Linked DNA regions of Arabidopsis thaliana. The protein of the gene in region 2 binds, or shares a complex with, the protein of the main gene of each other region. Each region holds a gene or a part of one and is shown on either strand. Other genes may lie near its edges.

What was found. Proteins that work in one complex are often made in the same cells at the same time.
Region 1: SPT16 (region 2) and HMG share a complex: the UniProt entries of both Arabidopsis thaliana proteins name them as parts of the FACT complex.

The regions. Positions count from the first base shown.
Region 1 is NC_003074.8:10,783,140-10,789,229, forward strand, and holds HMG (high mobility group), read left to right. Parts: upstream 1-1,748; 5' UTR 1,749-1,814; coding exon 1,815-1,868; intron 1,869-2,154; coding exon 2,155-2,340; intron 2,341-2,416; coding exon 2,417-2,522; intron 2,523-2,612; coding exon 2,613-2,749; intron 2,750-2,827; coding exon 2,828-2,911; intron 2,912-2,992; coding exon 2,993-3,087; intron 3,088-3,174; coding exon 3,175-3,283; intron 3,284-3,418; coding exon 3,419-3,505; intron 3,506-3,603; coding exon 3,604-3,696; intron 3,697-3,775; coding exon 3,776-3,973; intron 3,974-4,060; coding exon 4,061-4,206; intron 4,207-4,296; coding exon 4,297-4,444; intron 4,445-4,524; coding exon 4,525-4,632; intron 4,633-4,713; coding exon 4,714-4,896; intron 4,897-5,054; coding exon 5,055-5,133; intron 5,134-5,231; coding exon 5,232-5,359; 3' UTR 5,360-5,590; downstream 5,591-6,090. Other genes in the region: AT3G28720 (uncharacterized protein), read left to right, coding at 1-1,200; CYP81D11 (Cytochrome P450 superfamily protein), read right to left, coding at 5,625-6,090. UniProt on the Arabidopsis thaliana protein: Component of the FACT complex, a general chromatin factor that acts to reorganize nucleosomes. The FACT complex is involved in multiple processes that require DNA as a template such as mRNA elongation, DNA replication and DNA repair.
Region 2 is NC_003075.7:6,600,784-6,608,410, forward strand, and holds SPT16 (global transcription factor C), read right to left. Parts: upstream 5,575-7,627; 5' UTR 5,420-5,574; intron 5,214-5,419; exon of another isoform or gene 4,693-5,213; 5' UTR 4,668-4,692; coding exon 1,443-4,667; 3' UTR 1,120-1,442; downstream 1-1,119. Other genes in the region: AT4G10720 (Ankyrin repeat family protein), read left to right, coding at 7,096-7,408, 7,551-7,627. UniProt on the Arabidopsis thaliana protein: Component of the FACT complex, a general chromatin factor that acts to reorganize nucleosomes. The FACT complex is involved in multiple processes that require DNA as a template such as mRNA elongation, DNA replication and DNA repair.

The sequences.
Region 1 (6,090 bases), on a different chromosome or scaffold from region 2:
TTGGCTTCGTTGGTGTATAATGCTTATCAGGTTTTGATTGTTCCTTCTTTGAGAATCCCTGTGTACTTTGAGGATACGTTGGTGGTTCAGTTTATTCATGTGTATGGGTCAGAGGTTAAGGATTCGAGTGGGTTAGATTTGGAGTTTGTGAAGAGAACGTTTATGGATGAAGCTGAGAGTGGTGGGTTGTTGTTAGGTGAACAGAAGTTGAGTTTTAAGAGTTATAGTGTGAATTATAGAGAATGTTCGATTTGTTCGTTTGCGGTATCTCGTGGGATGAATTCGTATACTTCTAGGTTTTTGTTTGATAACTATACTTTGATTGTGAGTGAGTATTTGGATTCTAAGCATATGCATCGGGCGTTGACTGATTCGGCTGAGGAGTTGAGGAGAGTTGCGGGGATTGTTGAAGAAGAAGGAAATGAGTTTGCTAGGGTTTTACCTGTTTATGTGTTTGATTTGGATATCAATACGCCTTTGTTGCTTGATCGGTATCATCAGTCTGTTGCTTTTAGAGATATGGTGATTGCTGTTAGAACTAGAGGAACTCAAACGGTTAGTGATTATACTTGCAACGGGCGTCATGTGTTTGTTCATACGAGAGACTTAGAACGACCTCTCGTTGGTTCCATTCTGCAGAGTATGTGGGGTGTATCTTCTACTCATTTGACATGGAGCCCGAGACATAACACAACTCTAGTTGATTATACATGGAGCATTGGGCAAACACCGTTTGGACCATTCTCTGATATCTCGTCTCTATCGTTTGTTCAGAAAGATGCTGCTAAGAGAAACGTGATTTTGACATCTTTGAACACAACTATCACAAGTGCAATCGATGTTATCGATTCCGCGGTTGCATATGGAGGAGATGTGATCCTACGGAAACAGAATCGCCACTCTGAGTTCATGCAAAGGTGGAATCTTATGCAGTACAAGCTGGATAAAACGGTTTCTGCTCTATCACACAATGAGTTCGAGATGGCTTTGTTCTACTTAAGATCAGCTTCACACGACTTGTACTCAGTGCATTCAGTAGTGTACCTCGCGTCACAACGGGTAGAAGCGAGTCTCAACTGTTTCAAAGATCCACCGTTCCCATGGGGAACTGTTTCAGTGTCGGGATTCGGGTTAATGGCTGTTGGTTACGTGTTCTCGAAAAGAGATAGACTCTTTAGGAACAAACGAAAACAGTTCTGAAGAATTCTAGCAATGCAGGGTAATTTATAGTCATTACATTGGATAAAAAGACTTTGATAGTTTGGTTTTTGAGGTTAATACAACATGTACTACTATTATGAGCTTGTTTCCATTTGGTAATGTTGAACAATAGAGACAATGCTCGGATCCTCTGTTTGGTTGTCTATTTATTTTGAATAGCTCCATCACATTCCTATTGTCTCCTTCAATAATCACTTCTCCATACCCTTAGACCGGTTTTCCCCTCCTAACCAAAGCCAAACAAAACCGAAGTAACCGGTTTGGTAAACCGAACCCGCATGCCTACATAATTGATATAAAATTCTGTTTTATAAGAGGTTTCTTTTCCAAATGTGAAAAAATCCAAAACTCAAAACAACCTTCTGTTTTTACCGTTTTTTGATAAAGGTCTTTTTCCCAAATCTGCAAAACCAAAAACTCAAAAATTCAATTAAACCGGAAAATCTAATTTTCGAAAATTGGTTTTCTTCCCAAAATTAAACCGCCTGAGTGTCTATGTATAAAAGTTGATATCATAGTTTGGAAAAAAAAAAATCACTCTCTCTCTTTCGCTCTCGCTTTCTCGTCTCTCTCGTGTCTCTCAACAGAAAACCATGGCGGACGGCCACTCCTTCAATAATATCTCTCTCAGCGGTCGCGGTGGAAAGGTACCATCTTCTCTCTCTGTCTCCTTCTATCTCTCAAGATCTTTCAATTCCTTCAAAGTTTTCACCTTTTCCTCTTCCTTCGAAAACCCTAATCTCCTTTCTCTGTATCCCCTTTTGCTTCCGCCGCTCGATTCTTAAAGAACTCAATGAGTCAAATTTAGGGTTAAAAAAAAGATTGTCGCTTTCATTTTTCAGTTGTGTTGTTTTCTTGTTTACAATTGTTAAAGCTGCGGTAGTTTTTAGGGTTTTCTTAAGGCTAATTAGGGTTTCAATTTTGGTTTTTTAGAACCCGGGTTTACTTAAAATCAATTCTGGAGGAATTCAATGGAAGAAACAAGGTGGTGGAAAAGCTGTGGAAGTTGATAGATCTGATATTGTAAGTGTTAGTTGGACGAAAGTGACAAAGAGTAATCAATTGGGAGTCAAAACCAAAGATGGATTGTACTACAAGTTCGTTGGATTTCGAGATCAGGTTTGTGTGTGTATATCTTTTTTATTTGATTTGATATTGTAATGTTTGTGCTTGTTCTGATTCCTTTGTTTTGTAGGATGTTCCAAGTCTGTCTAGCTTTTTCCAAAGTTCTTATGGAAAAACACCGGATGAGAAGCAATTATCAGTTAGTGGTCGTAATTGGGGAGAGGTGGATTTACACGGTGAGAGTTCTTATAGCTTTTAGGCTTTACTTGTGGTTGTCTAGTTTCATTTGTGGATCTAAAGGGAGAATTTTTTGTTTCTTTGTGTAGGGAATACACTAACCTTTTTGGTTGGATCAAAACAAGCTTTTGAAGTATCTTTAGCTGATGTTTCACAGACTCAGCTTCAAGGGAAAAATGATGTTACTTTGGAGTTTCATGTTGATGATACTGCTGGTGCTAATGAGGTACTGGTTTCTTTTGATATGTAATCTCTAGGCTGTTATGTATGTACATTTACTGATTTATATTCTACGTGTTTACAGAAAGACTCGCTGATGGAGATTAGTTTTCATATTCCTAATTCCAACACTCAGTTTGTTGGTGATGAAAACCGTCCACCTTCTCAAGTGAGTTCCCAAACTATTTTCATTATATGTATGTGCCTCAAGTATATATTTTTTTCTGTTGATGCTAAAAGAATGTCTCAGGTTTTCAATGACACAATCGTTGCAATGGCTGATGTTAGTCCTGGAGTTGAGGATGCGGTCGTCACATTTGAGAGTATTGCAATCCTCACACCCAGGTAAAGAGTTGATTACTTAAACATTTGTTGCACTATTGTATGGCTTCATCTTGTCATGACTAAATGATTTGGTTGTTTCTATCACAGGGGTCGGTACAATGTGGAACTTCACCTTTCTTTCTTACGATTGCAAGGACAAGCTAATGACTTTAAAATCCAGTACAGTAGCGTTGTCCGTTTGTTCTTGCTTCCAAAGGTAATTCTTTTTTAAGCATATCTCAGGGCAGTTACCTATGTTAGCAGTCATCAGATTAAAGGGATTATCGTATTATGATCACTGAATCGTGTTCACATTAATTGAGTTCGTATTTTTTTTTATATGCCTGAGCAGTCAAACCAACCACACACGTTTGTTGTTATCTCTCTAGACCCACCAATCCGGAAAGGTCAGACAATGTACCCCCACATTGTTATGCAGGTAAACATTACTTACATTTTTCCTTCCATTTCAATTTTCTATGTATAATTTTCGTTTTTTTACTCTGATTTACATAACTGTTTTTGCATCTTCTCCAGTTTGAAACAGACACCGTTGTCGAAAGTGAACTGTCAATTAGTGATGAACTTATGAATACAAAGTTCAAGGACAAGCTGGAGCGATCATATAAGGTTTCTGTCTGGTCTGCACTTACATTATTGTTCCTGAATAAAAAAATTTATACATACGCTGAATTGTATGAATTTTCAGGGTCTCATTCATGAAGTATTCACCACCGTGTTGCGTTGGCTGTCTGGTGCAAAGATCACTAAACCTGGGAAGTTCCGCAGTTCCCAAGATGGGTTTGCAGTGAAATCGTCTCTCAAGGCAGAAGATGGGGTTCTTTATCCACTCGAGAAGGGATTTTTCTTCTTACCTAAACCTCCAACGCTTATACTTCACGATGAGGTAAATTATGGTTATTAAGGATTGGAGATTTTTTATAGGCTTTGAGATAGAGTTGGGTTTTCTAACCTGTTTTTTTTTCGTTTTTAGATTGACTATGTCGAGTTTGAAAGGCATGCTGCTGGTGGTGCTAACATGCATTACTTTGATCTTCTCATAAGACTGAAAACTGACCATGAACATCTGTTCCGTAACATTCAAAGAAATGAGTATCACAATCTCTATACCTTCATAAGGTTAGCGCGGATTATTTCATTGTCTCCGTCTATATTTACTGAGTGCATTTAAGATTTGTGGTGAATATTCCTTATGTTTTCTTGCTGCAGCTCTAAGGGTTTGAAGATTATGAACCTTGGAGGTGCGGGTACCGCAGACGGTGTTGCTGCTGTTCTTGGGGATAATGATGATGATGATGCTGTTGACCCTCATCTTACGCGTATCAGAAACCAAGCTGCTGATGAGAGTGATGAGGAGGCAAGTACTTTATGTCTGACCGAATTACTTCATATTCTAATGATCATGTGTTTGATAATCGAGACTTTTAATTTATGAAGGACGAAGACTTTGTTATGGGTGAGGATGATGATGGTGGTTCACCAACTGATGATTCTGGCGGGGACGACTCTGATGCTAGTGAAGGCGGTGTAGGAGAGATAAAAGAGGTAAACTTTTGTCGCATTCATTCGAACTCTTTCAGCAGCAGTATTTGTTTCTCATATCTTCCTGTCATTGACTTGTTATAGAAATCTATCAAGAAGGAACCTAAGAAAGAGGCTTCGTCATCGAAAGGATTGCCTCCTAAGAGGAAAACTGTAGCCGCAGACGAAGGCAGTAGTAAGAGGAAGAAGCCGAAGAAGAAGAAGGATCCCAACGCACCAAAAAGAGCAATGTCTGGTTTCATGTTCTTTTCCCAAATGGAAAGAGATGTGAGTTCTTCTCTCCTTTCTTTTACTTTTACCTCTATGATGTAGGCTAAGTTGCGAAATGGAGTATCCTCGGTCTATTACATACATGAGAGCAAACAATTAACAGACAAACTTAGCACATTCCTGATTATGTCATTTTCCATTTGTGAACTGAACAGAACATAAAGAAGGAACACCCAGGAATAGCATTTGGAGAGGTGGGAAAGGTGCTTGGAGATAAGTGGCGTCAAATGTCTGGTAAAAAATTTGAAGATCCTTTTCAAAAGTAAATACATTACTTGGTTTTACTTTATCATGTGAATGTGTTTTAATTCCCCAACCGTGTGTATGTATAGCTGATGATAAAGAGCCATATGAAGCCAAGGCTCAAGTCGACAAGCAGCGATACAAGGATGAGATCAGTGATTACAAGAACCCTCAGCCGATGAATGTGGACTCAGGAAACGATTCCGATAGTAACTAAACTTTGATTCTCCAACATTCTCTACTAGTATCTCATTTACCTACAATACTAAGTTATGGCATGTAGTAAACGTTGGACCTTTAGTTGTTTGGAGTTAACCAGATTTTTCTCTTTGACCTTAAAGATCTTGTGTTACTTCCTAGAAAAGAAGAGCCTGTCTTTACCTCAAAATATAGAGTACTCTGGTAAGGCCATAGCTAAGAAGCAACAAAACAGATCGTGTTTCTATCGAAATTGTTATACAAGAGGTTCTGTATGATGAAAGTTATGGACAAGAAGCATCTAAAACCTTATGGACAATGGGACGAGCTTTACACATAGCTTGCAACGATGTAGCTTTTCGCATTGTGGTTCCTTTTTCACTTTCTCTCATGTCTAGATACTTTTCTTCAACCCTCTCCCACTCAAAACATTGGACCAATGATCCAAGAGCCAAAGTCACTAGCCGTTGAGCTAGCCCTGAACCAGGGCAAGATCGTCGTCCAATCCCAAATGGCATCAACTTTTTATCCTCTCCTTTTTTCTCAAACCTCTCCGGCTTAAATTTTTCTGGCTCTTCCCATAACTTTGGATCTCTATGGATGGCCCATGCATTCACCAAGATGATTGTGCCGCGTGGAACGTCATAGCCATCAACTATACAATCTTCTGATGCTAAGTGGGGTAAAAGCATTGGAGCCACCGGATAAAGCCGTAAAGTCTCTGACACAATGTGCTGAAGGTAAGGAAGT
Region 2 (7,627 bases):
ACTAGGCTAAAAAAACTTGACAACATCCAATATATGCTATACACTTTTGGTAAAAATGTTTGCTTAAACAATGTCAGATATATAAAATGTATAAAATCTTAATTTACATTTACAACTACATAAACTGTTAATTATTTGATATTAACGTGTTAAGCTGAACATAATAGTTCAACGAATTGGAACAAGTTAAACAATGAGTGGTATGCCGGAACAAACTTGAAATGAATTGGTTAACGTTGAGGTGGTTCAAAAAATTGAGATGAATATCTAAAATATAATTTCTCGATTTTATATATCGTTATTACTAGTTAGTATGAGGGTATTGACTATTGAGAGCTAGAGAGAAAGAAAAGATAATTAACTCTCAAGATAAGTTTTGTTATCCGATCATTCATTTCGCTTTATACGGAAAACAAAAGAAAGACTGTAAAAGAGTTATATTTTTTGAAATAATATTCTAATAGAAGCAAAAATCATGACCTAATTTTTTTGTTGATAAAACTGTTAAAGACGTCATTTAGGGACCAAAGTTCGAAATCCTGTCCAGCCCGATCATAACCATGATACACACCATGATGTGGTATTGGCAATATTTCATCACATTCTATTCAATTAAATAAGTTTGATTAGTAAGAGACCAAAGAAAGAAGACGTGTTGCATGAGACATGAGCATGACCGATTAATAAACAATTGAATTGTACACTTTTAGTGACATTTCTATCTAAGATTTGCTAAATTTTGACAGTGTGCATGGACGGCTAAGCCAAGGGAGCAATGTATTGGGTATCTCATATATGGACATATACAAGATATAAACTCAAGTGTAACTATTGTGGTCATCTTCCATGAGAGAAAAGATGACGATGAGGTCGTTCCTGTTTAGTGCAGCTACCACGTTCAACGTCGGATTCCTGGGGCACGACCGAGTTAAGGTTGTTCAGAACAAAGATCACATTACTTAATTTACTTTAGTGGTCCGAAGATCAGAGGAGTTTGCTAGAGAGCTACAAGAGCTCTGGAAGAGTTCTTCTTGCTAAATCAAGTATGTAGCTAAATTACTACCAGTTGATGTAAAAAGAGTGATTGTTATAATTACAAAAATTTGAAAGATTTTAAGATTAATATGGTATTTTCTGCCAATTTTTTTTTTATCCAAGTCAAAACGACAAGTTGTGTGATTTTTCTTTAAGACTAATGAGAACCAACCTAACACCACAATGGGACATTATTTTCCTAGGGCATATAATTGATAAAATTATCTTAAGTAGTTTTCATATGATACAAAGGACTGATAAAAAAACCGATAACAAAACGCTAGTTTTTGTTTGCCAACAAACCAAGGGAAAAAAACTAATTTTAAACCTGCGAAAGTAAATGTCTGACTTTCGTTTCATCTCTAATGAGAACAATGATAAGCAGAATTCGAACTTTTTGAGTTTCTTCACCTGTGCTTGCGTTTAGATGGTGGCATGTTCTTCATGCTGCTACTACCACCTCCACCGCTAGTTCCAGGTCGCGATTTCCCAAACGCTTTCATCTTTCTTCTCTTCCTCTCTTCCTCGCTATCAGACTCAACTCCATGCTCTCTGTCTGCATTAGTAGCTTCTCTCTCCAGTTCATCCCAAGTCTTACCTTTCTCTTCCTCTGACTCTTGCTCTGAGTCCTCTTCTTCATCATCGTCTGACTCCACCAGTGACTCACTCTCTGAAGCCTCGTCCTCTGACTCAGACTCAACCTCTACATCTGATGGTTCATATCCTTTGTCTGACTCCTCAGACCCGCCAGATTCTGAATCGCTTCCGTCCAGGTTCAGAAACTCCCATCCTCCATCATCTATAAAGCTCTGCGGATCATCTGTGATCGTCTTTAGGATCTGTCTCCAGTTCAGATTCAGTTTGCTCTCGTAGTACTTTATATCTGTGGTGTCTAGCCACTCCTTTATCCCCTCTAGGGAGCTTGTGGGAACTGAGTCAACCCTGAGAACATCTTTTTTGAAGTCCTTGAAGATGATGGCCATGTCAAAGTTCTTCTGCCCAAACCCAACTCTCTCAAGATTCACAATCTCAATCTCACTCAGACTCACCACGAGGAACGGGTATTCTATCAGCTCAACTAAGCAGCTGGAGGTCGGTATTATGAATGCAGATGTCTTGTGCGGAACACCATGGAAACCAAGCTCTCTCAGAGGTTGATCAAACTCAAGGTCCAGACTTGCAAACTGTGGTAGTTGCCACATATCATTCACCCGGTTTGCAAAATGATTGAAATCCATGTTGATCTTGTTCTTCCTATCGCGCTCCCTCTGTTCTTCGTCAATCTCATCTGGATCATAGGCTGATCTCCTCCCACCACCTAAAGACTGCACAACATCCATTACCTCCACATAGAATTGAACGTCCTTTGTCTTCTTAGTTCCTACCATGATGTGGTTGTGCAAATGAAAATGAAGGAGGGTGATCATCTCCTTCTCAGCAGGCTGGAAAAACGCATGCTTTATGTTTGCAAACAGGACATCCACGCGCTCGTCAGGCCTGGTAGTTGAATACCTGAAACCATTTGCATGAGCTTCGAGTGTCCCAGGAATCTTCTTGCGCCCACTAAAAGGCGGACGGATCCACAGCTCGGACAACCTGAGGGGTTTGAACTTGTTCCCTGCAAGCTGAAGTTTCTCTTGGGTCACCAATGTCGCCCTTTCAGCTCTCTCTGACTCCCTGGCCATGACTTGCCGTCTAAGGGTCTTAATCTGTTGAGTTACTTCGCTGCTATGCCTTGAATCCTTGGTCCGGAATGAAACCTCCTTGAGGTAGATAGCACCCTGGTTTTTCAAAGAGTTTGAGTCATGAGGGTTGAAGGGTGTACCCGGGACATTGAAAATGATACGGATGTAGCAGTTTCGGTTGGTATCTTGATTGCCTGACACTGTTCTTATTGTAGCCACATGGAATGGAACCAAGCTCCCATAGATGGGTAACAATACAGCCTCGTTTCTCGTATCAACCTGGATCATCAATTCCTTATGGGGCATGTCGTTAACATTCTTGTAGGCAACCACATCAGCTGAAGTCTTTGCAGTAGACCGGCTGTCTCCCGCCCCAGAACTGTCACCAGCAAGCCTTCTGGCAGTTTCTTCATTTTTCTGGCGTGCCAGCTCTGCCTGGTGCTGCTTCCGTAGCTCTTCTTTAGACACCACATGATCATCTGATCTAAGAGCTGTCTTGGTAATGTAGTTCTCAGAACCACTGGTCCTAGCTTTCTTGCGCGGTTTCTCTTCTTCTTCATCCTCTTTAAAGGAGTAAGCCACATCCTTAACAGATTTAGAGCACTTGGTTAAAAGCTCCGGTTTCTGATCTGTGACGAGAACTGTGTCAGCTAGCAAAAGTGAGAATTTCTTGTTCTTGCTGCGGCTTTCTGACTCACATTCCAAGTTCTGGAAACCAAGAGACACATTAAATGCCATCTTCGGTCTCAATACTTTATCATTCTTTGCATTTATATTTAATCCTGACTCTCGGAATTCCAGACCGATACCAGTCCCAGCAGATTTAGTTAGCTTGTCAACGAACTCAGGGGCATTCTTTTCAACAACAGAAAGGGCAGCTTGATAGACAGTGTTTATCTTTCTTCCTGACCTCAAAGCATCAATAGCAGCCTCATGTGCCTTGAGAAGAACCTCATATGCCTTGCTCTGGAGAGAAGTTGCATCTATTAGGTAGGTCCTGGCAACATTTGAGCAATAACTATTATACCTAGCACCAACAGCACATATTATGATACTCGCTGGATCATAAGTGAGCAGTTCATCATTGCTTGCAGCACTTGGTTTGAGATCAAACTTGCCTCCGCTTTGAAATATCGGAGGGTAGCATATGTCAACATTCTCTGGCTTCAGTTTCACACTGGCCTTAGTTGGCTCAAGTATCGCTTTCTCAGTGAGATCCATCAGGGCAGAGTGGGTGACGTCTTTCTCCTCATCAATGGCACTCTCAAGATTTGGAACAACAACATTTTTCATCACACTGTAGGCTAGATACGCAGCTTTCTTCACACTCATGACCTCAGTATCGTCTTTAACAGCAAATAGATCAGACAGCCCCCCAGTTATATCTACGAACTGGAAGTTTGCATTCTTTAGCCTCTCAGTCCATGTCTCCAGAAGCTTACCTTCAGGGGCTTCACGAGCAATGTGTCCAACAACTTGTGAATCATTTCCATCACCCCGGGATAGATCACGGATGGCACGAAATATGGCATCCATCAGCCCTGTTCCATCATCACCCTTAGGCTTAACATGCATGATAACATCAAGCTTCAACTCATCATGTGCAGGTTTTTTCACAACTTCAAGTAGAGAAGCCTTGTTCCTACTACACAGGAAATGGATCTGCTTCTTGGTAAAAACCATAATTGTATCTGGAAACTCATACCCAAGAAGCCAAATATTCAACGCTGAAGATTTCAGGTAACGCAGATCATCAGAAGCAGGAGGGGTAGCAATGGCAAGAGCGTCGGCAGATCCCCATAAGTCTGCACTGTGCTTCTTCCAGTGTTCATACAATGCTCTTGCACGTGAGATAAAGTTTTTAACATCTATGGAATAAGTATTCCCAGCTTTTGGAGGCACTCCACTAGGAGGGGCTCGGGCATTACCATTCCGAGAGTCTGCCATCTAAAGAGTCCAGCAGCAACCTATACTGCGAAGAAAAAGTAAAATAATACTCAGAAACAAGAAAGTTTTACATAAACGAGACAGAGAGAGATTCACAAGCCTAAAGCTTTCACTAATCAGGAAAAAAACAAAAGACTAATCTTTTTATCAAAAATTGAAAAGACCAACAAAACCTTATCTCGTGAATGCCAAATAAAGTTCAACAGTTTTTAAACAACGTCAATCTCCAAATGCGCAGGACATAATCATATACATATAGGTATTGGCAACAAAAACGTGAAAATGAGAACTAATATCGCAAAACATTAGACTCTATATATATCAAAAACGTGAAACAATGTCGAGAGATATAAACTTAACGAATCCAAATTGAAATCTAGGGTTTCATAGCCTTCAAAATAGGTCAAAATTTGCAGTAAATTACACCAAATTTCAGACCCAGAAAGAAAAATTAGGGTAAGGAAAAAAAAAACCACTTCGAAATAGAATCAATAAAATCTCAAAATTAAAGCAAAGACGCGAACGGAAGCTTCGCACGGCGAAACCCTAGAAATGGAAGAACAAGAAAAAACAAAAATCAATTACTTGTCTAACGCAGCGAAATCAAAATGGATCGAGTTAAGAACATGATTTTAAACGAAGAATCAAATCGAAGAACACGAAAACGAGATTTAAACAAGTTGAATCGTAGATTAAAAACAGTGAGAAATCGAAAAAGGGGGAAGAACAGAAAAATCAAGCGAAGAGTTTACCCAGATGGTTAACGGAGGAAAATAACAAGGTAGCTTTACACAAAGGCGGTTTTGGCCGCGAAACAAGAAGAAAAACAAACTCCGGCGAGGCTCTCTTCGAGAGAGAATGGGGAGAGAGTAAGCGAAAGTTACCAAAGAATGGTTTTTCTACCAAGGCATTTCCTGAGAGTGGAACATACTTTTATTCTGATGATGGTGGGCTTCGCTTACTGTTAAACACCGATTTGTATTGGGCTTAACATAGTGACTAATAAAGGCCCATGTACTATATTTTTGTTTTGCCGGTGGCCCATTTACTATATCGTTGTCGATTTTGTTATATATGAATGATAAAAAATAAACAGCAACCGAGCTAATTGAACCAGAAGACCAAACCAAGTTTATCTCGAAATTAGACCGAAACTTGTTTACAACTCGATTGGTTTAAAACTCAAGAGAAATTAAACCGATTTTTAGTGTGACAATACATTATACATGCATGGATATGTGATCTCAAATTTGTGCTTTAGTTTTAAGATTTGAGAGAGAGAGTTTTCAACTTTTGACCTTTGGCTATAACTACAAAATTATCTTTGTAAATGTAGTTTACAGTATATAATGATGAGGTACATAACCATATTATAAAGTTAATGAAGTAAATGATTATCACTTTTTTTATTTGCAAAATCACTTAATTGGGAAGTGATTTCTCAAAAAAAGAAAAAATGCTATGTTATTAAATAAATGATGAATCATTACATTTTATGTTTGTTTTATACTATATATCTAAGTATATACTCTTACCAAAAAAAAAATTAGTATATAATGATTTATCTTATATGCGGTTTAGAATTGTTTGAAGCTAGATCAATGTACGCTTAATGCCTAACACTGTTTCAGAGCGATATCGCCATATGGTTGATCCTGTTTCAATACCTGTAATTCAAAAAACAACACATTTCAGCTAAGAGGCAATGCAGAGATAGAAAAATAAAGGAACAATCCCTATTGAGGAACAATTACCAATGTCGAAAACATTCGAGCAGCTAATTTCCTTGTCTTTCCAGCCAATATCTTGCTCAAACTTAGATCTCCAATGCTCTACAATGTTCAAAGAATGTTACACGTTAGTAGAGAAACAATAAGCTCTCAAAGCTAGCTACGTACATGGTTTTTGGAATCTTTATTTACCTTGTTCTCTTTGGCAAAGCATCAGAAATTATGGGAGCTTTCATCATTTTCTCTTGTTGTCATTATACCGGCGACTACTCCAATGGCTCCAGCATGCCAATGACTTTGCTTGTGTCGTATTGGAACATGTCGAATTCTCGACTTTCTTATCATTTATATCTTTGCTGATTATTTTGATATGATCAAACGACGACGTTTTAGTGATATGATTACTCTCATGTTGTGAATTCTGATTTTCACAATGTGTTGGGTTGGTAGGATTTATATTCTCTTAAATTAATGTATCAAGTTCTACTTAAATTTGTAGTATCCCTAGAGAAGACTTTTTTTTTGTAGTCTCTTTCTCTGAGTTCATCTAGTGTTTGTCTTCTATTGGCTTAAACAAATGATTGGTCAAGTCAACATCAAATACTTGTTCAAACGATGACATTATATTCTATAAGTAAATGTAAAGTTTTTATTTCTTGAAGAAAAACAAAGACTTGTTTCTTCTTGTTCTTGATATAATGGATCCAAGATTGATCGTAGCTACTCAAATCGGAAGCATCGATGAATTGTATGCTCATATCCATGAGAATCCATACATTCTTGAAATCATTGATGCAATACCTTTCATCAACACTCCTCTCCATATAGCTTCTGCTTCTGGTAACCTTTCTTTTGCCATGGAGCTGATGAATCTTAAGCCGTCTTTCGCGAGAAAACTTAACACATACGGGTTAAGTCCATTGCATCTTGCTATAGAGGAAGGTCAAACACGGTTGGTTCTAAGTTTACTCAAGGTTGATTCTGACCTTGTTCGCCTTCGAGGAAGAGAAGGTAATATATTTTTCATTTTCTACTACTATGACATCATATAGCTAGTTTATTAGACCAACCAAGTTGTGTATTGTTTTCTTGAAATTGTTTGATCTTTTGTTATTACTATAAATGGTTGAAATAGTTTGATTTCGAATACAAGGTATGACGCCGTTTCATCAAGTAGTAAGAAGAGGAGAAACTGATCTTATGACAGAGTTCCTCTTAGCTTGTCCTGGT